3 linked regions of the Tamandua tetradactyla genome follow. The main gene of each other region encodes a partner of the protein of the gene in region 3 in a complex. Links are inferred from orthologs where the notes say so. Each region holds a gene or a part of one and is shown on either strand. Other genes may lie near its edges.

Region 1 (7,635 bases), on a different chromosome or scaffold from region 3:
CCTAAGGTGTGGGATAAAAATCAAAGGTGATAGTGGAGTTATACAGAGAAGGTAGAACTGAACAAATGAGCATGATTTCTGATTCATTATATTGATTTTCGTTTAGTCTCCAGTATCTTAGAGTAGTTAGAGATAAAAACCTAAAATGGTGGAATTGTAACCCATACCAAACTCTGCAATCTGTTGTACAATTAATTGTGGCAATGTGCTTTGAAATTTATAGCTTTTTTGTATATATGTTATTGTTCACAAAAAAGAAGGAAAAAAAGTCGATTGTGATGATAAAAAGTATTTAAGCCCTCTAGCTTCCTGTATTCTGTAGCAGCTAGAATATGAGAGGATTGTATGGTAGCCTATGACAAACTCTGGGATCTACCCTGTAACCACTTTTTGAAGAGTGCTTTGAAAACTATTGCTTTTTTATTTCTTTGCTTTATATATATCTTATACTATGCAATAAAAAAAAGTTAAAAAAATTCTTAATAATGAGCACAACATAGGTACTGACTTCATCAAAATGGAAGTGAAGTGTTGGAATAGGATTCTGGTACATCAGTATTAAATGTGCTGTTGCTGAGAGCTGTCAGAGAGAGACTAGGGTAGTTAATGTGGCAAGAGTGAATTTAGGATCAAGGCAGGGTCTACTCTGCAACTGGCAGTAAGTTCAGTATTTCAGTATTTTAACAACTGGTACAGCCTTCCTATTCTACACCAGTGGAATATCAGCCCTTGGTATGCAAGACATCAAACCACACAACACAATTCCTGACCTTTGTGTCAAATAACTATACCATGAGGTGTAATGAGAAATTAATCTTCATTACGCTTTTAAGTGAAAACTATAGACTAGACATAACTCTTAAGAGGTGGTCAGTAAGACACTTCTAAAGTTACCATCATCAATGAAGCAAATTCTATTTATTGCAACACAGAAGTCAGTTATCATCAAGACAAAGAACCAGAAAATAGGTTTATATTGAGACTTTTATTTTTATATGTTTTCTTATTAAACTCTCTTGAAGGTTCCTAATCCTTTTGATACATAGGTTTTTTCACTACATACAACATACATTGGCACACCTCCAGATGTATCAACACTTTTCAAAGTGCGTTTAAAGCAAAGGGAAATAAATTTGCTCATTCTCTGACAAGGAATTCCCTGAATTGACTCTATAATTCAATTCAGTGTGCACATAGGGCAGACCATGGTGGCTCAGCAGGCAGAGTTCTCACCTGCCATGTGCAAAACGTGGGTTCAATTCCCCGTGCCTGCCCAAGCGGAAAAAAAGAATACATAACTCAGTTTAATTCATTTTTACTGAGCTTATATCACTTCAAAAAAACCAAAAACAGAAACGAAAAATCGTGCACAAATGCAATGATAATGCGTGGGGAGACATAAATAAATATAAATTGGTCTACTGTAAGGCACACTGCTACCATTGTGATTTGAGAATATCTCCACAGAATTAGTTTGACCTTCATACAGAGGGAATCATACAGCACCTATTCTTTGAGTTTGCCTTCTTCAATTGTACGAGTTTTTGAGATTCAGTCATACTGCTGTGTGTCAGTAATGTGTATCAGTATCAGCAGCAGTCTATTATAAGAATATATCACAATTCTTTTATCCATTCTTTTGCTGATGAACATTTGGGTTGGTTTCAATTTAATCTGTTCATTAATTCTGACTGAGCAAATAGTCTTTTTTTCCCCTTAAGATGTGAAATTTGAACTGTTAACATTTTTCTTATAAACAAAGTCAGACTAAGCGTAGATAATTTAGTGCTTATTTAAAGACCTCTTTCTTCGCAGTAGAAATGAATCAATTACATGTCAAAAAAAAAAAGCTACTTTTTTCTACCTTTACATTCTTTTTAGGTATATTTAACTCAGTTACTTAACTGCATAAATTTGGATTATGCTCTTATAACCCACAACCTCTCAACCCAGAAAGGCAAGAGATGTTGGCATTATGGTTCTTGTTTATCTTCTTTTCAAGAACAGACTTAATCATGGCATGATTTAAACCCTGCTTTGTAGTAAAACATCTCCTACCTTTTAGGTGGATATAACTTTCAGATGCCCAAGAACTATGTTTCCATGCTAATCACAATCAGAAAAAGCAGAAACTCTAACCTTATTCATCAGTCTTTCTTTGAGTAAGTGTGAATACTGAGAGAAAAAACACACAATAGCATAATGCATTTTTTTGCTTTTTAAAAATGTAATTTTACAACCTCATGGGAGAGTGGGAGGGTGGGTAAGGGGTCACAAAATACCATAAATCTTTTGAGTATGAAGAGTCTCTCTACAGAAATTCCTTCACAAAAATATTTTTAGTATTGTACACCCAGGTTTTATTTAAGTAAGCCTATATGTAAGCCAAATTTATTTTTAATTTTTTTTATTTTTTTATTATTTTTTACATGGGCAGGCACCGGGAATAGAACCCGGGTCCTCTGGCATCGTAGGCAAGCATTCCTGCCTGCTGAGCCACCGTGGCCCACCCAAACCAAATAATTTTAACTATATGAAGGTCTGTTTTGTATGGTTTTTTTTGTGTGTGTGTGTTCTGCAAAATTGTTGTTAATATTTTCTGGATCAGACTTTTCTTAAACTAGGGTCCTTCAGGTCACCAGGCTCTAGGGACATATATTCAGCAGTCAGAAGAGTTCTACAAAAATGTTTTAATTTAGTTTTGTTTTCATTTCAGTGATTGCTTAAAAACACTATTTTATCACTCACTAAATGAAAATTCCCCTTTGCAATAGAAATTCACAACCATAAGACATTTTCCCTAAGTAAGATTTTAATTTCTTACATCAATATTCTTAAACTGTAATTTTCAAGATTATTTGCCAAATTTCAAAAAAAATGTTTTTTTGTCCTTTAAAAGGGATTTGTATATTATGAATTTGTATATAGTTTATGAATCACTAGTCTAGGTAACATATTCCTCTAAGAATAAATTGTCAGGAAGAACCTTTTCCTTCCATGATAAACGCTTTATTTCTTTAGATAATGAGAATGACATAGCCCACTATGGTTTTTCCCTCTTTTGCTTTTGTTATATGGAAATGCAGACCAAAATTCAATGTTTAATTGTAGTAACCATGGTCCTTTTTATTGATACAATTATTTCCTTACATAATTTTTTATCTTTCTTTACTTACAAATTATCCTAGTGTACATGGTTTGTATTGACCCTTGCTTCAAATTATTTTATTATTTATTTTATGTAAGTTTTAAATGCAGTCTGGAGATTTTGTCTAAAGGAAACTTTAATCCAAATAAATACAGCTGGTTTCAATCTACGTTGTAAGAACTCTTAAATAATAGCAACTAACGTTTTTTAAAGTACTTACAATGTGCCGAGGCATTGTGCTCTTTATCTCAACCTTTACGAAAAAATTTGTAAAATTATCTAGTAAAACCTAATGATGTAGATAGCATTATCATCCTATTTACAGAAATTCATAGACATTAAGAATTTTGCACAATGTCATAAAGTTGTCCTATCAGGACTCAAGTTGTGGCTGAATCCAAAGCTCAGCTCCTAATCACTATGTATATTGTCTCCCAAGTTGCATATTCTGTTCTGAATTATTAGCGGTTGGTGGTTTTTCTCCTGGGGTTGCGGAAGAATGTTCACGCTCCTCATAACGAAATGAACTCTGTCCTCTAACAAACATTTTTCTTTTCAAGTCTCCTACAATGCTCACACCCCTTCAGTGGAAGCCTATACCACTCACAGACTCTCATCTTCAACAGGAATCCGTTCCCTCGGACCCTGGTGACCCCAGCATTGCCCCATACCCTCAGACCCTGTCTTCTTCTCGCAAAGTTGAGACTCTTGTACCCCCCCAAAAAGAGCAATCCCACCAGTAAACTTTAGCAGAGACCTCTCCTGGCAAAGGTCCCATCTTATCCCCTTATTATGGTTACCTCTACCTCTCTCCCAACCTCCTCCCAGAAGCGTGCCATTTTTTCCCCTATTCTCTTTTTCTGCTTTTTATTCACTTTCCCCATCATCTTCTGGCCTAGTCCATTTCCCAGAGTCCCCTCAAAACTCACCTAACAACTTCTCTCAAAAGAGCAGCGTTCTTAAATGCCTGCGCCCATTACCGCGCACCACAACTTGTTTGATCGCTCACTGCCAGGTGCTGCCCCATCCCCCTCGCCCCGCCCCCGCCCCGTGAGTCTCTCTGCCAGCCATCACCCGAAACACCGCCCCCGCCTATCTATTGGTTATCCTTCTTAAAGAGTCCCGCCTCCCCCCCTCCAGCCCGCCTCCCACCCCGCTTTCCTTGTTTTCATTCCCCCTGTCACACGAGGCCGTGGCGAATCCGAAGTGGGAGGGGCGAACTAGAGGGAGGGAAGGAGGCCGAATGAGGGCGGAAAGTGAATCGCTCAGAGTGCCTCTCTTTCCCCCGTCTGAGTCCGTTCTCGACTGCTCCGGGCCGCCGTTGTATTGTGGGATTGCGGCGCCGTGCTTGAGACGCTCGGATCCACAAGGAAGCTAACTCGACAGCGCCTCCTGTCGTTCGTAAGGCTGCGCCACCATTCCTCGGCACCCCAACTCCCCCTACCCCCCATCGCCTCCTCCTCCATCCTCCAGTTCAAAATGGCGGCGGCGGCGGCAGCGGCAGCGGCGGTGGCGGCGATGGCTCCTCCGGGCTGCCCCGGTTCATGTCCCAACTTCGCCGTAGTCTGCTCCTTCTTGGAGCGCTACGGACCGCTGCTCGACTTGCCTGAGTTGCCTTTCCCGGAGCTGGAGCGGGTATTGCAGGCGCCGCCGCCGGACGTGGGCAACGGAGAAGGTAAGCTAGGGGCCCGAACGCCCGGCGGGAAGCGGCCCTGGCGCGCTCCTACTCTCAGATCTTCACGGACACCTCGGGCCTCCGCGGTTCTGTTCTTTCCCTGGGACGCAGTTCCGCCGAGCTCGTCTTCTCCGCCCTGCCGCCGGAGTCCTGGGCTGAGGGGAGGCGGGGCGGGGGCCCCCCTTAGGGCCAGCCGGCCAAGCGGGGAGCGGAGGTGGGGGCGTCGCGGGCTAGGTGTTGACTGGGGACGGGGAGAGGTCATTGTGCTTGTCTTTTGCCCCTCGGACCGCTCTGCCGCGGCGGGGGCCTGTTCCCCACCCCTTCTCCCTTTGGGTGGCGGGGGAAGGGGAGCGCAGGTTCCGGCCAGCTTTGCGCTTTTCTCCTCCTCCCCTCCTTTCAACCTCCCCTCCTCCCACCATCCTCTCCACCATCTCGGGGGAGGCTGGGCCCATCTCGTCGGAGCGCCTACTCCTTTCCTCCACCTGGGTGGGCGGAGGCCAGCGGACACTCCAACTCTCCCTCCCACTGGTGGGAACTCCCCCGAGAGAGTGCTCTAGTCCCTCTTCCCCTGTCTTGAAGGGCGGATTTAACCCCCCAAACTCCTTCCGAGTAGGGAGGTCTGCTCCTCCCCTTAGGGAGAGTATTCTCCATCCTCGCTGTGGGGGGCAAAGTAGGTTCAGCTTCTCCACTTTGGAGAGAGGATTAATTCCTTCACCCACCCCCATAGTTTTCCTTCTCTCTCTCCCCACCTTCCCCCAAATAATAGAAAAGGATCTCTCTACTTTTTCCACTCCCTTCCCCCTTCATCTTGGCTGTAGGGCTTAAGGGAAGAAGAAGTCGCCCTCCCATTTACGGGGTGGGGTGGTTTGTATGTAGGCTGGAGGAGGGGCTCAGACAGAGGGGAGAAACAGTTGAAGAAGGTGCTTGTTGCTCTTGTTTCTCTCTCTGGTGCCGCTGGTCTATTATTGGTGTTAGCAAGTGGTGCTCCTTCCACATAAGGCCACCGCGCGGGTGCAGGGCGCATGCTCTGCACGGCCCCATTGAAACTTCCTGCTGCTGCTGGTAATTCTGCTGGAGCATCTCAGCGCTGAGCCTGCTGCCTCCAGCCCTCACACAGCACATACACTCACCCTCTATTCCCAATTCAAGCCTTCCGTTTTCTAGAACATTTCTTCCCTCAGAGAAGGGCTTTTTGTTGTACTCACCTTAGCATTGCCTTTATCTGGGAAAAGCCTTTGACTGGAGAAGAAACATTTTCCAAACAGGTCTTTTTTTTCATTTTGTGTGTGTCTGTATTCGGTCGCAAAGTGGGCTGAGTATTGTACACGACAGATAGCTGTTTCCTTCCAAGAAAGCAGGGTCGTTCTTCTATTCTCTATGGAAATGAAGACGTTTCTGTTAATATATTTACATTGCTAGAAAATGCCCAAGTATGAAGTTCTTAAAAATATTACCTAGAGAGAATAAGAAATTACAGCAACCAAAGTTTCAAATTAGTACAGCAGTTAGAGTATAGGCCTTATCCCTTCTTTTCCAAATCCCCTCCACCCTTAACAAATCCTGGTATATAAAAGACTAATTTTTTGAATGGTGTAAACTAGGGAGGTGATAAAATGCATTATATAAAAACTTCCTGCAGAATTTCTTTAGAAATTAAGCGTCCTAACGTAATTTCGTGAATGAATTGCATTTGCATTAGTTTTTAAGGAAAAAGTCATTGTGAGGTAGACCTTAGTAAGTTGCTGTTAGAATACCTTGGGAAATGATAGTAATGTATTTACCAAAGAGACAAATGTGGGAATTGGGGATGGAAGGATTGCTGGTAAGTTGGTTTTAGAATTTTGGATCAAGTTGAAAGACAGGCATAGCCTTTCTGTGATGGCATTGTATTTGGGGTGGTACCAAGGTTGCTTGCCCCCCCTCCATTCCTTTTAATATTTTGCCCACTGAGTTTGGTTTATATTAGTACTGGAAGAAAAAAATGTGAAGGCTAGTTTAATATTTTTCCTTAAAAAGAAAATTTAATACCCTTCTTTAAAACCTTTCATATTTTTTATTTGGAGTTGAATAACCACTCACCAGTGGTCCACTAGGTGAGTACAGTGTGGGAAATAATCTGGGTTAAAGGTATCATATAGCTCAGTCATCCATTACCATTTACAAAGAAGACTGATAAAAATGGTTCCTTTTATGAGGTGATCTAAGAATAATTATTAATGTTAAACCATTCAAGATACTTGGTGGATGAAAAAAATCTCTGCAAGTGAAATGCTGTTACTGTACAGGAAAAAAATTCTCAGCCCTTGATGTTGGTCAACCTGCTTGTAATAGTTGTTTAAACAATACTGGTCCCATTGACAAGATTTGAGCAGTCTTTTTGGAAAGATGTGGTATACCAGAAAGAGTTAGAAGTACGGATTTTATCATTGATCTGTAGGTTGTAGAGTAAATCACTAAACTTCTATGGACCTCAATTTCTTCAGTAAATAGAATATCCAAGGGTCAAATGAAATAATGTTAAAAAATCCTTTCATAAACCAAGCATTTAGAAATATTCTTGTCTTACAAATTTTATTAAGATGCCTGCAGATAAAAGGCACATAAGTGCATTTGGAACCAAAATTTTTAGCACATTGTGAGTATTGAAGCTTGAACACAATATTGACCTTTTATGCTCTTGAGAGCAAAGTTGCTTATAATCAAATAGGTTTTGCTTTAAACAAATTGAAGTATTTTTTAAAGGCTGTTCTTAGAGCCATATCAAAAAATCTTAGTGTATAAAACTTCATGTTTCCTAGTATGTTTAGCCTTT
Region 2 (8,296 bases), on a different chromosome or scaffold from region 3:
GACTGAACCTTGACCCTAGTCCAAGCCCAGACACACACCCCAACCTGAACCTAGTCACGTGATGTGCTACAAAGAAACTGTAGGGCTAACTTAAACTGCACTGTCCCCACACCAGAGTCCCGGGCTGGTATGGGGGACGCCAGGGGCCACCTGCTCCAAGGGGAGGGGGCCAGCAGGTGTCCTGGGCTGGGCTCCCCGTCACAGGGACCCACTCTGGGAACCGTGCTGTGAGAGCCCCTGGAGCCCAGGCCCGAAAAGGGCAGCCTCACAAGTGTGCTGCCTGCTCCCGCGCCCTGCCCAGACCTGTTCTAGGCTCCGCCACCCTTCCCCAAGGCCGCCTCCACCTCCCTCCCACCCTTCAGCTGGGCAGGGCCTCCCAAGACTCAGCCAGGCAGGGTGGCAGCCGAGAGGGCTGGGAGGGCGCCGGGGGCCCATGGAATCTGCAGCAGGCCCCATGCTGTACCAGAAGCTTCAGCTCCTGGAGCCGGATTTGGAGTCTGAAGAGGAAGAGGAGGAGACAGCAGAACTGCTGGTTCTACACCCCGGGGAGCCCCAGGAGTCCTCAGCGTGAGTCTGGGAGGGGTCTGGGTGCCCAGCTCCTCAGATCTGAGATCTGAGTTGGCAGGTCCCTCTCTCTGGAGCCCCTAAGGGGGACCGACAACCCCCCATGCCTGGCTCAGCCCCAGGAACTTTCTGGTTGAAATGGGGGTGGGGTTGCCACCCCAGTCCTGGCCTGGGCCGGTCAGCCAAAGATAAGTGAACCTCAAGGGGTACTGGTACCAAGCTAGCCCCTGCCGGCTGCTCTGTCCCAGCCCCCACCCCCTGGGGCAGGTGGCACCTGCTGAACAGGTTGGAACCTGGCTGCACCTGGCTGGCCCGGCTTGGCAAGGCACATCTCCTCAGCCTCTTCTCCCGTATCAACCCCCACTCAGGCCCCTCTCCCAGTTAACCCGATCCTGCCTCTCCAACCCCCTTCCTAGATGCGCCTTCTCTAGCTATCCTCAGCTCCTCCAAGCTCTTTCCCATCTCCATGTCATTGTCCCTACTGTACCCTCTGCCCGGAAACCCTTTCTCTCTGGCAAACGTGACCCCTCTCGCAAGACCAGATCCCTTTGGGAAACAGTCCCTGGTTCTCTTGGGGCTCTCTGGGGTGCCCCTCAGGGATGCTGGCTCAGGACACCCAACCCTGCAGGAAGCAGGGTGGTGGCCTGCCTGGGGCCTGGGCCCGACTAGTCGCTGCCCTGCTGCTGCTGGCCGTCGGCATCTCCTTGGCCCTGAGCAAACTCCACACCAGGGGCGGCTCTGCAGGGGGGTTGGACTCCGCGGCCCCCTGGCCCAGCGGCCACTCCCACCACCCCAGCGTGTTCCACCACGGGGCCGTCATCAGCCCGGCAGGTCAGAGCTCGCGGCGGCCCGGGACCTGGGAGGGGCAGGGGTCCCGGGTCCCTAGTCCCTTCCGGTGACAGTCGCTTCCTTGCTGCAGCCGTGTGCTCCCGCCTGGGCCGAGAGCTGCTCGTTGCCGGGGGCAATGTGGTGGACGCTGGAGTCGGAGCAGCCCTGTGCCTCGCGGTGGTGCATCCTCATGCCACGGGGTTAGGTCAGTGACCTGCGTCCCCAGAAAGCGACCCCAACCCTCGGTCTTCTCGGTGACTTGGAATGTGAGCACAGTCAGTGGCCCTGACCTCGGGGCTGGTTAGTGAGCAGGACCTAGGATTTGGGCAAATGATAATGACCCCTAGACTGTGACCTTTGACCCTAAGTATATTCATTCTTGGCCCCAGGACTGGTCATTGACCCCTGACCTCAGGCCCAGTTGGGAAGCTCAACCTCAAACAAGTCAGTGACCTTTCACTTGGGGTTGCTAAGGGACGGTGACCCCAGTCCTGGCCAGTGCTCCTGACCCCTGCGTGACCCCTTTGTTTCCACCCCCCCACCCCCGCCCTCAGGTGCCAGGTTCTGGGGCCTCTTCCACAACGGCTCCTCAGGCAACGCCACTGCCCTGACCCCAGGCCTGGCCCAGACCCTGGTCCCCGGCGTGGGGCTGCCTGCGGCTCTGCCTGCCCTGCAACTGCTGCACGCACACTTCGGCTGCCTGCCCTGGCCACAGCTGCTGGAAGGCCCCACCACGCTGGCCCAACAGGGCTTCCTGGTGGATGCATCCCTGGCAAGGGCGCTGGCAGCCCAGGACACAAAGGGCCTCTGCCCACTGCTTTGCCACGCTGATGGGACACCCCTGGGTGTAGGGACCTGGGCAACCAACCCAAGACTGGCAGCAGTGCTACGCAACACAACCCTCACCCGCACCCCAGATCCATCCAGCAATGCACTCCTGGGTCTGGTGGCCAGTGACCTGGGGCTGGAGGTGCCCTCAGCGGGCCCCATGCCCACCTTGGAGCCAGCGCTGCAGCTGCCTATGGCCCAGGGTGTTCTGTTCACCACCCCCAGCCCCTCGGCTGGCCCAGAACTGCTGGCTCTGTTGGAGGCAGCCCTAGGCTCCGGGACGCCTAGCCCTGCCCCCTGCCCACCGCTCCCACAAGCTGCTGGGACTCCCATGAGCAGCGTCCTGGCCGCCGTGGACAGCAATGGCTCTGTGCTCCTTCTCACCTCCTCGCTCAACAGCTCCTTCGGCTCCAGACACCTGTCCCCCAGCACTGGGGTTCTGCTCAGCAACCTGGTGGCCGGGCCTGCAGCAAATGCCTGGGCCTGTCCCCTCATTCTCCATGGCAGCCCGGATGACACAGAGGCGGACGTGCTGGGGCTGGTGGCTTCAGGGATCCCTGTGGCGGCCAGAACCATGGCTAGTACTTTGCTCAGACACCTGGCAGTGCTCCGGTCCCAGCAGGAACCAACGGAGAGCCCCAGCATTTGTGGCCAAGGCACCCTGCTGCAAGTGGCGGTCCACGCTGAGCATGCTCATGTCTCCAGCGTCCCCCATGGCTGCTGTCCCTTCCAGGGGTTCTAACAGGAGGAGGGTCTGGCGATGGGTAGGGATGCCTCAAGCCTGGGGCACAGCAAGCCCAGCAGCAATGCGTGCACATCTGTTACATGGTACTATGGGCTTAGGCCCCCAACCTCTGGCCTGGTTAGTGACTCTTGATCTGGTCAGTGGCCCCCAATTCCAGGCCTTGTCAATTACCTAGACGTCTAGGGCTAGCTCAGCGGATCTTCAAAGCACCCCTCCTGGATGGATTTTTTGGCTCCTCTTGCAGCTTAGGAGGCTCTGAGGTTAACAGAGCCTGGGAACTCGGTTCTAGGAAGACCAGGTAGGAGAGTGCTAAGCCTCTGGGCCCTGTCCAGCAGAGCAGGTGGATCCTGGAGTGCTGCTGGCATCTCCGCCCTCCCCTTTGGGACTCTCTGGGCCAACTCTCTCCACTGTTTCCATGGTATTTTCTTCTGGACACCGGGGCCACCCTCTGCTGATCTCTCGTGACTGGACAGGAAACAAAATAAAGATCGAATCTCCTAAACGCCAAGTACCATTCCTGCCTCTTGGCTAATTTCACATCAGTCTTTGAAGCACCTAGGTCAGGGCTTCACCCCTGGGCAGCACGGAGACCAACCCCCCCAGAAAGGGGCACAGTCTGAGTTGCTGTCTTTCAGCCCCCCCCCCCCCCCGGCTCCCTTCACCTTCTGTCTCCTAAGGCACACTATGGGCACAGTAAACCTCTTCCTTTCACTTTTGAAAACAGACAGGAGGGCAAGGAAAGAGTTGAGAGGGTGATGAGGAGGTGTCCCAGGGGCCTGGGAGCAAAAGGGGCTGGAGCTGGGCATGTAGAACCTAAAGGCTGCAGCCAACTCTGATCTTTCCCCTTAGGGCTGGGGCCACTTGGGACCACAATTCCAGAGACAGTTTCTCAGGCCAAAAAGCAGGACTAGCCAGTAGAAGCCTGTCTACCCTCTCCCACCCCCACCCCCTCCCCACAAGTTGTAAAATGCATCTCTGATTTAATCGAACCCTTCATCCCACCATCTCTTCCCTCCCCCAATAAGTCCTCCCCAGCTCAATATAGTAGCACAATCTACCCAGTTATTTTGGCTCTAAGCCTCTCTCTTCCTCTATTCCCACATCCAATCCATCACCCACCCTGATCAGCTCCTAATTGGCCGGAATCTCACCTGGGCCGGCACTACCCTCGCCCTAAACACTAGAGTCTCTAACTGGTCTCCCTGTGTCTATCATTACACTCCTACAATCCAACGCCCACCCCAGCAGCCAAAATAATCTTTTTAAAATGCAAATCTGATCCAGGCTTGCCTCTTGTAAAACCCTCTGCTGACTTTCCATCACACTCAGAATAAAACCCAAACTCCTGCTCCTGGCCTGGGGCCCCACGGGATCTGGCTTCCCTGATCCTTTGCCCCAGCTTTGAGGCCCGGGTAGCTGCAGTGCCCTCCTTCCCTGAGCTTCTCGTCCCTCTTAGATCTTCGGGCAGGGGCTCTTTCTCGTCCTGCAGCTCTCCCTGCACAGGTGCCCCCTCCTCGTGCCCTCAAATCAGCCTCGTCGAACCTATTCCACTTTCTTTTTAATTGCAATGTTTTTAATCGATGACGCATTCAGGCGTTTCCAAACTGCAAAGCCTCCCTCTGACCTGTGTGTCTGTACTTTCACTTCTTCATACTAAGTATCATTTTAAGATGTTACTTGGATACTTGTCAATCAGTGATCACCACCCCCACCCCGACCCGTGGAAGCAGTAACTTTGCTTCTATCTCTTAGCCCCGCGCGCAGCACACAGGAGCAGCTCAACAGTTTTCAAAGCACAGGGGCCCCGCGGGGAAGGATCGATTTGCTTCGCGTGTTTTCGTTTTCTGAGAAGGATCCTCAGGGGCCCGGGGAGAGGAGGGTCCCAGGGAGAGGTCAGGGTTGCCACACTGCTCTAAGAAGGTATTATCGCGGAGCAGCCCGCGTCCTCTGGCCCCGCCCCTGGTCCGCCCTGACCACGCCCATTGCCACGCCCCTGGCCACGCCTCTCCCCGGCGACCCAGTCAACGCGCATGCGCCGGGACCTGACCTGGAAGAGGCAGGCTTCAGGGCCCACGTGTTCTTGCAGCATGGCGGAGATGGACAGTCAGGACGTCGCTGAGCCCGTGGCCCCCGGGGAGGCGACGAAGAACGGCGCCCGGCCTACCGATCGCCATGACTTGCTGCAGCATAGCCGCGAATTTTTGGACTTCTTTTGGGACATTGCGAAGCCGCAGCAGGAGACGCGGCTTGAGGCCACAGAGAAACTGCTGGAGTATCTGCGCACCCGGTCTGAGGTATGGTGGCGGGGCCTGGGTCCGGGGGCCACGAAGATCCCTGTAAAGAGGTGGCGGTGGGACCCCTAGTTTGGGGGCTGGCTGGGGCTGGTACGTGGTCCCGAAACGGGAAGCCAAAGTAAGGGCGGGCTGAGGAGCGATGCTCAGCTAGGGCAGGTTAACTCGTGTCACCCGCCGCCACGAGGTCTGTGTTGGCTCCGCAGGGATCTGAGATGAAATACGCCCTGAAGCGCCTCATTAGTGGCCTCGGGATCGGGCGAGAGACCGCCCGGCCCTGCTACAGCCTGGCTCTGGCACAGGTGAGGTGCTGGCTCCTGGCCTGTGGCAAGATGCCCAGCCATGCTAGTCAGCGTGGAGGGGTCCGAAGGGGGCGGATGCCTCCGCTGTCTAGAGAGGGGTGTCAGAGGAAGAGGTTGTAGGGCTGCATGGAGTTGATAGGAACCCACCCTATCTGAGGAAAGGTTCACCACGTGTGTGTAGAGAAAAGATGCCAGCTGTGATTTGGCTGCTAAGAAGCCCAGGCAGGTGGGGTGGGAGGTTGAGCAGGTTCAGGGTGCATGGGGGGATGGAGAACTTTGAGGTAAGTTCCCTTACTTCTGCAAGGTTCGTGGGCGCTCAGCTGGCCGTAGGCCGTCTCTGGAACTTGGATGAGTGGAAGGGCAATAAAGGAGGCTGTGGGGGGAGTCCAGAGCAGACTTTTGGGGACAGGGTGTCGAGCAATCTAGAGGGCAGGGAGATGAGGTTCAGCCCCATTTGAGCAGCAGTGATCTTTCACTGCTTAGTGGGATGCAGCTTCAGAGGCATCCTTGGGGGTGGGATTAGGGACCCAAGGCCTTTTGGCAGAAGTTGAAGGGAGAAGGGGGAGGAGGCCAGGATCTGGGATATGGCTGGGCTGCTCCCTGAGCCTCTCTCCCTCCTGTCACCACTCCTGGCAGCTGTTACAGTCTTTCGAGAGCATCCCCCTCTGCGGTGTCCTGCAGCAGCTAGAAGAAGCCCATGGCCTGCGGAAGGTGAAGAAGGTGAGTGGGGCTCATGACAGCAGAGGTTGGGGAGCACTTGGGCACTTCTCACCAGTGCCTGGGATCCTTTCTAGGCTCTAGTGAGATCCGCTCTCTTCGCAAACCTGTTTGGGGTGCTGGCGCTCTTTCAGTCAGGCCGGCTGGTGAAGGTAAGATTTGGGGACCGGGAGAGTCTCTCACCTGGGGCACCAGGACCGGCCTGGGAGTGGCGGGGCGTAGTCGCATGCCCTGCTCACACCATCTGCTCCTCTGTGTGGTGCCAGGACCAGGAGGCACTGATGAAGTCGGTGAAGCTGCTGCAGATCCTGGCCCAGCACCACAACCACCTGCAGGAGCAGCCCCAGAAGGTGCTGGTGGACGTCCTCTCCCAGGTGCGGGCTCGCTGGCCAGACGGCCTTGGGCAACTCTTCCCCCCCACCGCCATATAGAAACCTTAAGGAAGTGAATGTGTCAGGCCACCCTAGAGTGGCACTGTCTGATAGAGAGAAAAAGACAAGCCACATATGTAGTTTGAAATTTCCTAGTAACTGCATCAGAAAAGCAAAAGGAAATGGGCAATGAATCTTGATGCATTTCAGGTTCTTGTAAACCACTGTGTCTGAGAAGTCTAACATCTGAACATGTAATCAACATAAAGAGAGTTTACTGATACGTTTTACACTCCTTTTGTCATACTGAGTCTTCAGAATCCGGCATGCAGTTTGCACTTACATCAGATTTCAATTCAGTCTCATCACATTGAAGTAGTCGGTAACCACCTGTGGCTGTGGCTGCCACATTTGACAGCACAGCTCTAGGACAGTGCCTGGCACGTGGCAAGGATTACGTATGTGCTTGTTGTTGCTGCTAGTTTGAGTAGGGACTGCACCACTCTGCGAAACTGAAGTAGGCTGGTACTTGGACCCTCTGGAGGCTGAGAAAGGGGCAGGAGGCTGGCACAGCCCAGGCCAGGGTTTTCTGTACAACCCCAGCTCTTCCACTGGTTCTTAGCTAAGACTCTTTGGATAAGAAAGGGGCTGGTTCTCTGAAAGCAAAAACAGAGGAATTATCAAAAGGGTGGTCCTGGGCTAATGTAATCAGCCTCCGTTGGATGCTTATTAAAAACCTAGCTTTCTGGGACTTCGAAGTTTGAAATTTTTTAGCAAGTGCTCTTTGATGGTTCCAAGGCACAGCAAGGCATATGGTGGCTGTCCCACCTCAGACTGTGCCAGGGACTGTCCCAGGAGCCTGGCAGGTAGAGAGGCTAAAGGTGCTGTGCGTGAGCTGTCCCCACCCCCCAGGTCCCAGAGGCCACACTGCAGGAGATCCTGCCAAAGGTCCTCAAGGCTGACCTGAGTGTGGTGCTCAGCTCCCCCGAGCACCTGGAGCTCTTCCTCTTGGCCCGGCGGAAGGTGCCTGCGAAGCTGGAGAAGCTGCTGGGACCTGTCAACCTGTTCTCAGATGAGAATCTTCCCAGGTTTGTGTGAGAGGTGGGGAGGGTTGGCTCTCAGAGGCTTCTGGAGCTGTCATGGCGTCTGGGGGTGGCCCTTCTCTGTTAGGTGGGTACCCTGACACCCCCCCACCACCACCACCCCCCTCTGTAGGCTGGTGAACGTGCTGAAGGTGGCCGCCGCCTCTGTGAAGAAGGAGCGCAAGCTGCCCTCCGTGGCGCTGGACCTGCTGCGCCTGGCACTCCAGGAGGACCAGTTCCCGCGGTTCTGGAAGGAAGTGGTGGAACAAGGGCTGCTGAAGAAACAGTTCTGGCCGGCCAGGTGCGCGCGGCCCATGTCCCATCTGGCCCTCCTCTCCCTGGCTGTGAAGCGGGAGTGGGACAGTGGTCCTGAGTTCCACCTGGGCAGCCGGGGACTCTAACCAGGCTCTGTCCCACGCCCCTTAGCTACCTGTGCTTTCGCCTGCTGGGCACAGCCCTGCCCCTGCTGTCCAAGGAGCAGCTGCAGCTGGTGATGCGGGGAGACTTGATCCGCCATTATGGGGAGCACTTGATCACGGCCAAGGTGGGTGACCCACGTGCAGCTCAG
Region 3 (7,887 bases):
ATTATGAGCATATTTTCCTTTATGCCCTTAAGTACAGTTCTACAGCTGTCTTAAAAATCTTGTCTGCTAATTGGAATATCCAAGTATTGCAAAGCCATCACCATTGATTTTTCTTTTTTTTTTCTTGTGTGTGAGTCACTGCTATATCCTGGACATTTGGGATCATACACCCTATGGACTCAATGCTGTCTGTTCCTCTGAGGAATTTGATTTTTCTTTGTTGTTGAACTGGCCAACGTCAACCCCCAAACTCTATCTTTCCTATAGTGAGCAGCACCTGATATTGATCTTAGCTGGGTTGCTTGGTGTCTGTCTCATATCTGCTTATTTCAGGTTTCAGTCAGTGATTTGGTCAGTTTATTTACAGAATTTAGGTCTCTCCCCTTATGTGGATATCTCTCTTTATTTTACAGCTGCTGTGATTCCCCCAAACTATCTTCAAATTCTTAGAGCCAGTAAGTGAGAGTGTTTTCTAAGTTTTAGCCTCTCAATATGGTATTGGTTAGGGTGAAACTCATCCAGTGTCACTTTCTTCCCCAGGTATAAATTCCCCTCCAATCTCTGATGACTTTTTTCCCTTTGCTTTCACTGTCACCAGGTAGTTTTTAAAAATATTTTTCTAGAGTTCATAGTTGCCATCCAATGATTTGATAGGAGCAAGCTATTTTTTCCATTACTAGAAGCCAGATGTTCATTATGAGTTTTAAATTACAATTTCTGTATTTTTATAAGTAACAGCAAACAAAATTTGTGTACAAAGAAACCATTAATTTCTTAATTGTAGCTTTGGCTACAGTTAGTTGAGTGCTAGATTCTTATTTACTTTGAGTTTTATTAAAGAAAGTTGCTTCATAATTGTCAGTTAACCTATAAAGCTTTGGGCAGAGCAGTTACAACTTTGGATCATAATATTTGGGTTTTTTGGAAGTATTTCCCCAAGAACCAATTCGATAAAGAAAAATTGTATTTAACAAGCAGTAATGAAATGCACAAAGAAATGGAATTTTAAGTTATAGTGAGGAAAATACAAATTTAAAAGGTAGTGAAATATGCGTATATAAACCTAACGTACAAAATCACACCATGATGTGAGTTGACCAAATGTAAGGGGCATGTATTTAAACTTTACTAACCTTAATTTATTAAGAGTATAGTTAATGTTTTTCGTTAGCTGAAAGTAAATCCCCAAATTATTTGGCAAATGACCTATACAGGAGAAGTGAGGAAAGGATACACACACAATTATCTAAGAACATTGGTAATTTCCCATTCTTAGATAAAAACCCAGTGCTGTTTTATTGTTGTCATGTAATAACCAGACTTTATTTTCCTAGACTTTTACAAACTAAAATGAGTGTGCAGTGAAGATTAGTGCAGCACTACTACCTTTTCCTTGAAACTTAAAGTTTCTGTTACCGATCAAAACCAAAAAGCTCCTGGCTATCTGGCACCTTTTATCCTCCAGCAACATCTCTTTGTTACATCCTATTTCAATACTGCACATGCTGTTCTAACATACTAAGTTTCACAGAGGGTATTTTGTTTAAAAAAATTTTTTTATGCTGTATGGTAGGGGTCACATTTCATTCTTTTTCCATGTGACTATCACGTTATTGCAGCACCATTCGCTGAAATTTTGTTTTTGGGGGTATGGCGGGAGTGCATGAGCCTGGAATCAAACCCAGGTCTCCTGCATGGCAGGTGAGAATTCTACCACCGAACTACCCTTGCACCCCTATGTTTTAAAACTTTTATTCTGAAAAATAGCACATATGCAAAAAAGCAGAAAACTTTAAAGCACACTGCAACAATTAGTTAGAAAACAGATTTCAGAGTTGGGTATGGGTAACGGTTCTACAACTTTAGGTTTTTCCTTCTAGTTGCTCCAAGACATTGGAGACTAAAAGAAATATCAATATAATGATTCAGCAGTCATATTCATTGGTTAAATCCTATCTTCTCTGTTGTAACTCCAACTTCTCCTTGATCTTTCTCCCAATCTCTAGGGGTATTTGGGCTATGCCCATTTTAACTTTTTCATATTGGAAAGGGCTGTTGATAATATGGGCTAGGCGGATGGTATTAATTCATATTCTGGAGACGATGGCCTCACTGAGTTTCAGGACTTTTCTAGCTTAGGAACCCATCTGGAGGCTGCAGATTTCTGGAAAGTAACTATAGCGCATGGAGCCTTTGTAGAATCTCAGATAAAGTCCTAGATGTTCTTTATGGTTGGCAGGGATGGTTTTAATTGGGGTTTGGCACGCTATGATAAATAGCAATGTCTAGCTGAAGCCTGCGTAAGAGCAGTCTCCAGAGTGGCCTCTTGATTTGTACTGTCTTGACCACTGATACCTTATTTGTTACAATTCTTTCCCTCCTTTTGGTCAGGAAGGCAGTCTCATTCCTGGGAATCATATTCCACACTGTCAGGGAGACTTTCACCCCTGGATGTCATGTTCCATGCAGTAGGGATGATTTTACTTGCAGAGTTGGGCTTAGAGAGAGAGAGAGACCACATCTGAGCTACAAAAGAGGTCTTCATAGAAGGAGTTTCATGTGTAAACAATATATGCTGCATATTTGAGAGAGAACACTAAGATGGTTTTACATTGTAGTACACAGTTCCTTGAACATGGTTAAAACACTAGTTCTTTCTAGGGTTTTCTTGCCATCATTCCCCTCTATTTCTTTCAAAAAGCCATTAAGTTCCTCTTCCTCCACCTAGGCCCTGATCTGTAGGTTTATGGTTCTTCAGAATAAGAATACCTCACACCTGAAATCATAACACACTATCTGCCAGGCACGGTGTTAAGCACCTACATGCACTACATAATTTAATCCTTATGACAACATTATAAGAATATTATTCCAATCTGAGGAAAGAGAAAACTAATTTCAGAAATGCTGAATAACTTGCCTGCAGTCACACAGCTGCTAAGTTCCAGAGCCTGACTCCCCATTTTCTACTTTTTACCATACATTAAATTCTACATTATACTGTCAATTCCAGGACTAGCTCTTAGCTTTAGCCTTTTAATTTTAGAAGAATCTACATGGTGATTTCACCACCATGTAAGTACTGCTATCTGCCTAACCCAGCTTATGTTTCTAAATCCTATTTCTAGGCATTCTCTCTTTTTGGTAGACCTCTCCCCTCTCTGTCTCTGTATTTAAGGCTCTGCTCAAAATCTGTTTCTCTGTCCCTTATGTTAGATTAGTGATTTACAATGTTTTGTCTCCTCTCCTTAGTTTCTTTTAAGTATTTGTTCTCCATAATTTCCCCTAACAAGATTCTTTTACAGCGTTCATATGCTCATATGAAAAACCCACAGTACTAATGTACATATTAAATAACTACTGTCACTTTTTGGGCAATTTTATTTACTGGTTTCCTTAAAAAGTTACCACACTTAAGACCCTTTCATTTAAATACTTACGTATAATTTTAGGGTTTCCAAATCAGGACCCAAGATTTTTACCTAAGACAACTGTAAAGACTAAGTAAATATTCTGAATATTAATACTGTATTCCTTTTACATAAGAATGTAAATATTAAACAAGTACTTATTCAACAAATAATTGAAGTCTGTGTGTCAGGTAACATCGTAGACACTATTTTCTCATTCTCCCCTCACAAACTTTTTTTTTGAATTAACATTTTTTAAAATTAAAAGTGAGTTTTCTCAATACAATCATAATGCAAATTCATTTTAGAAAAATCAGAAAACATAGTCAAGTAAAAAGTAATTCAAAAAATATACCAGTGACAATCATTTTGAATACTTTTACGCATAGCCTTCTAATCTTTTAATCTACATCTTTTTCTACATTTTTGACTTGATTTTTTTTTCGGTTAACACTGTTTAATGAACGCTATTCTTCTTCAATGTCAATGGCTGTTAAAGACCAACAATTCGGTTTTGGATGCCCAATAGTTTTAAAATCAGAAATGGCATTTTTGATGGGCTGAGGACATTTTTTTAGCTCTCAAAGAATTATTGTTCAATTAGCTAAAATGGTTGCAGGATATTCAAAAGAAAATCCTTCTGTTTGAAATTCAACATAATCAACCAGGTGGTTCAACCTTAACTCTTGAAAATTTTGTCTTCTTTATCCAATAAATACTGAGTGAACAGTGGACACGGGGATACGGACATGAATAAGACACCTGAAAGGGCAGATAATAATCTAGCGTATCACGCAGTTTTGTTATCAAATAGAACATAATGTGCTTAAATTCTGTATAATAGATGGATGCACAAACCTTTAGGCATTTGTGGATGCACAAAGCAGTTTACACAAAGAATTACAGTGCCGAAAATTCAACACAACTTTGTAAGGAAAAGAGAATGCACATTTTAATTAAACGTTTGGTGATGAGGAAAAGATACAACCCTTCGCTCGTCTGTTTTCTTCTATTGGATACGCATGTTCCTCACCTAACGGTGTGCGCACGCAACTTATCTGCTTACTTTTAGCATGGGAATTCAGAGGAAAAATCGTATACCCTTACACCAAAAGGAAGTAGGGGGTATTCAGAAATGACTGATGCAGCTAATGTGTGAAGACTAACCAAAAATACCTTTGTAACGGACATTTCGCCAACAACAACAAGACCACAACAAAAAAAGAGACTTCATTCAAGATAACCGTATCGTCGTCACAGTGACGTCACGCGCTTGTCGGAGGCGGCAAAAGCGTTAAGGCCCAGGACAGACCTCCAAGTACACAGCGCGAAGTCGGCAAGTCTTCAGGGAATGCCGCCGACGCCGGCCAGGCCGAGAAGACAGCGAATCCAAGGCCGGTGAACCGTTACGAACACGTATAAAACTGCTTTCACGTCATGCCGAGTAGCCGACACAGAAACCCTGGGTTCACATCTCTCCCAGCCTCTCTGGTCTCCCTCGAGGTCCCACCCACTCCGCGCTCCAGAGCATGCTTAAGATTCGGGAGGAGTGGGTAAGCGTGAGGGACGGAACACGCATGCGCAACCGGGCCCCAGTCAGCCAACCAGCACTCTCGCGAGTGTTGAAAGTCGGTGGCGTAGGTAGTAGATCCTGGTTTCTGGTGAGTTAGGTGATATTCGCCAGAGGTATTAGAGGAGGAGGCGAAGCTGCTACCCCATTTCAGTCTCTCTTCTCTTTCCTTCGTGGTTCCATAACCTTCGGCCTTCCTCTACATCAGCCCCTGACCTTGGTGACCCGGCTGGCCCCGCCCATTCTCGCCGACGAGATTCCCGCCGTGAGGTAAGCCCGCGTCGAACACCGAGCGCCGCTGAGGAGGACGCGGAGGAAGAACCTGCTGCGTCCGCCTCAGGCCCGTTTCGGAGCCGCGGCGGGGGTGGGGGTGGGGGGCGGGAAATCGGGTTCTTGCTCTTCCATCAGCTCACTGCGACGTAGCCACCCAGGCCTACCTAGGCCTCTCCCTCCATCCCTGCCAGGCCGGCCTCTGGCAGCAGCGGGTGACGCAGACGGAACATCATGTCGTCCGCGGCCGAGCCTCCGCCACCCCCGCCTCTCGAGAGCGCGCCTTCCAAGACCACAGTCTCCGCCGCCAGCGGCGGGAGCAACAACAGCAACAAAGGCTGTCTGGAGGGTGTCGTGTCCCAGGTGGCTCCCTTGGTGGCCAGCGCAGGTCCTGCCGACGCGGAGATGGAGGTGAGTGAGGAAGGTGGGAACAGCTTGCAGCGCGAGAGAGGGCGGGAAGGCAGTGGCGAGAAGCTGGTTCCTTCGCCTTGAGTTCAGTGATAGACACAGAGTCATACTTCACCCCTCTGCACCAAATTCGGCCTTAGGCCTTTTGTATCTGAAATGATGCTTTCTCGTTATTACGCTCTGTCACCTGTCCAAGCAGATTCAGATGGTTTTTGGCACTTCACATTATAATTGTCTTTTTTAGTAGATCTTGCCAAATCCTCTAATGCCCTTATTAAACAGATGTGCTTGATTACTGTGGTCAAGTGAGAGTTACCCACCCGTGTTGTAGCCCCATTAGACTCCCATAATTCCCCTGCCCATCCTTGAATGTAGGATTTAGTTTCCACCAAACTTGGGGGAGGAGCGAGGGAGGTGCCCCTTAAAAGTGAGGGAAAGACTGTTTCTGAATGGAAGGCATTTAAAAGCAGCGCATGCGAGCTCTCGGGCCTCTTTCATCCAGTCCTTGCGGGGGCGGTATCTGTTCGTAAAGAAACAATGGCGAGGGCTGGATGGCCCTCTGCGCAGTGGGGATAAACGGGACACAGCTGCTCCTCTGAAGTGACACGAGGTCCCTCCCAGGCCCTTTTCCGCCGGGAGGGATGTGGCCAAGGCAGCAGCAGCTGCTGTCTTGGGATCGCTGTCTAATTTTCGGTGGGAGTTGATGAATGAATTAGTGAATTAAGGTCCGTTATTTGGCTTTCCATCCAGCGTACGTCTTTCTGGGCCTTGACATTTTTTTTTTTTTTGTCTTTAATTAGTACAGCGCACTGCACCCTGTGGGATTGGGTTGCTCAGGTGGGTGACGACTGTACTGTGGGGGTGGAAAGACAGTGTTGCTACTAGGTGGTTCTCTGGGAGATGCTTCAAGGTTTTTCTATGGTTGGGAACAGTGATTGGCCCTTCCAGTTTTTGTTCGTGGTCTTCAACCTGTTTTGAGATATTTTCGATATTCAGCTCAAAGATTATCTGTGATTTTTCCATTCTTAGACGAAATGAAGTTAGTGTTGCTATGAAAATTTTGATGCAGAATCAGCAGGCTGAGAAAATGGTAGCACAGTTTACCAAGAAGGCACTTGGCCAGTAGTTTTATTTGAGCAGCAAGGATCTAATCTAGGGTGATATAACATCTTTTGTTATTAATCTTTGAAAGTACTTTTAGTGTTGAGGATGAGTTTCAGTGGAATAGGAGATCTAATGTTACGTAGTTTTCAGTGATTGACATTAATTTAAAATAAAAATGTATCTGCTATTGCCTTTTTTCCCTTAAGGTTTGTGGTTCTTTTGGGTTACTAGGGCTATTTAACTTAGGTTACTGCCCCATGGGTAAGAGGGCTTAAAAAATGTGATACTGAAAGCAAAATTGTGTGTGAATGTGCAACTCTCTGCGAAGAGATGTTCGAAAAGATATTCATAGTTTTCATCAGCTTCTCGAAAAAGTCCCTCATTCAGCCTTGGAATAATGTAAAAATGTTTCACTAGAGGTCTTAAATATCAGAAAGCAGTGTAATTTAAAGCTAATTATTGTGGCTTTGATTTGCTGTTTTAAAATTAAAGCTTAATTAAATTTTAAATAGGTGTTTGGTATGATGATAACAACAGTTGCTGTGTGGAGTCGTGTTTGCCAGATGAAGAAACTGAGTCTTTTTTAACTAGAACCTGTAAGTGAACCCAGGCCTGACTTCAAAGCTGATTGTTTTTCCCCACATCTTTCCGTGTCACATTCTTATACAAATGATGTTTAGCAATTTCATTTACTGCAGAATGACACGGTTTTAGTTTTTTTTTTTTTACATGGGCAAACACTGGGAATCACACCCCAGTCTCCGCCATGGCAGGCGAGAACTCTACCACTGAGCCACCGTGGCCTGCCTGGGTTTTTTTTTTTTACCTTCTCAGTATGAAAATATCAGTAATTTTATCTTTTCTCAATCTATCTTTTCATTGACTAGATTTTTTTTTTTTTTTTCTGTCACATTATGGTGTCTTTCATCTTTCTAAATTAAATGTACCCTCAGTCTTACACGAAAGGGTTTGAGCATACACACATTATCTGAGGATAGATTTAAAAAAAAAAGAAACATTTTTACAAACCTTTTTATTTTGTCTTAAAATAGGTTTTAAGGTCCTTTTTTCTGAAATCAGGAAATAAATGAAGCTCTGTTTTCATGAGCTTTTTTTGTGACAAAG

Evidence for each region. Proteins that work in one complex are often made in the same cells at the same time.
Region 1: SMARCA5 (region 3) and RSF1 share a complex: the UniProt entries of both Homo sapiens proteins name them as parts of the RSF-5 ISWI chromatin-remodeling complex. The link is inferred for Tamandua tetradactyla from reciprocal best matches to the Homo sapiens genes SMARCA5 and RSF1.
Region 2: SMARCA5 (region 3) and MYBBP1A share a complex: the UniProt entries of both Homo sapiens proteins name them as parts of the B-WICH complex. The link is inferred for Tamandua tetradactyla from reciprocal best matches to the Homo sapiens genes SMARCA5 and MYBBP1A.

Annotation. Positions count from the first base shown.
Region 1 is NC_135334.1:66,955,387-66,963,021, forward strand, and holds the start of RSF1 (remodeling and spacing factor 1), read left to right. Parts: upstream 1-4,339; 5' UTR 4,340-4,627; coding exon 4,628-4,823; exon of another isoform or gene 4,824-4,883; intron 4,884-7,635. UniProt on the Homo sapiens protein: Regulatory subunit of the ATP-dependent RSF-1 and RSF-5 ISWI chromatin-remodeling complexes, which form ordered nucleosome arrays on chromatin and facilitate access to DNA during DNA-templated processes such as DNA replication, transcription, and repair.
Region 2 is NC_135332.1:58,579,495-58,587,790, reverse strand, and holds the start of MYBBP1A (myb-binding protein 1A), read left to right. Parts: upstream 1-5,000; 5' UTR 5,001-5,052; coding exon 5,053-5,259; intron 5,260-5,462; coding exon 5,463-5,558; intron 5,559-6,194; coding exon 6,195-6,278; intron 6,279-6,352; coding exon 6,353-6,427; intron 6,428-6,541; coding exon 6,542-6,649; intron 6,650-7,558; coding exon 7,559-7,734; intron 7,735-7,861; coding exon 7,862-8,029; intron 8,030-8,154; coding exon 8,155-8,272; intron 8,273-8,296. Other genes in the region: GGT6 (glutathione hydrolase 6), read left to right, coding at 434-567, 1,193-1,395, 1,484-1,597, 1,947-2,962. UniProt on the Homo sapiens protein: May activate or repress transcription via interactions with sequence specific DNA-binding proteins. Repression may be mediated at least in part by histone deacetylase activity (HDAC activity).
Region 3 is NC_135348.1:24,143,914-24,151,800, reverse strand, and holds the start of SMARCA5 (SWI/SNF-related matrix-associated actin-dependent regulator of chromatin subfamily A member 5), read left to right. Parts: upstream 1-4,706; 5' UTR 4,707-4,963; intron 4,964-4,986; exon of another isoform or gene 4,987-5,188; 5' UTR 5,189-5,250; intron 5,251-5,444; 5' UTR 5,445-5,484; coding exon 5,485-5,661; intron 5,662-7,335; exon of another isoform or gene 7,336-7,358; intron 7,359-7,887. UniProt on the Homo sapiens protein: ATPase that possesses intrinsic ATP-dependent nucleosome-remodeling activity.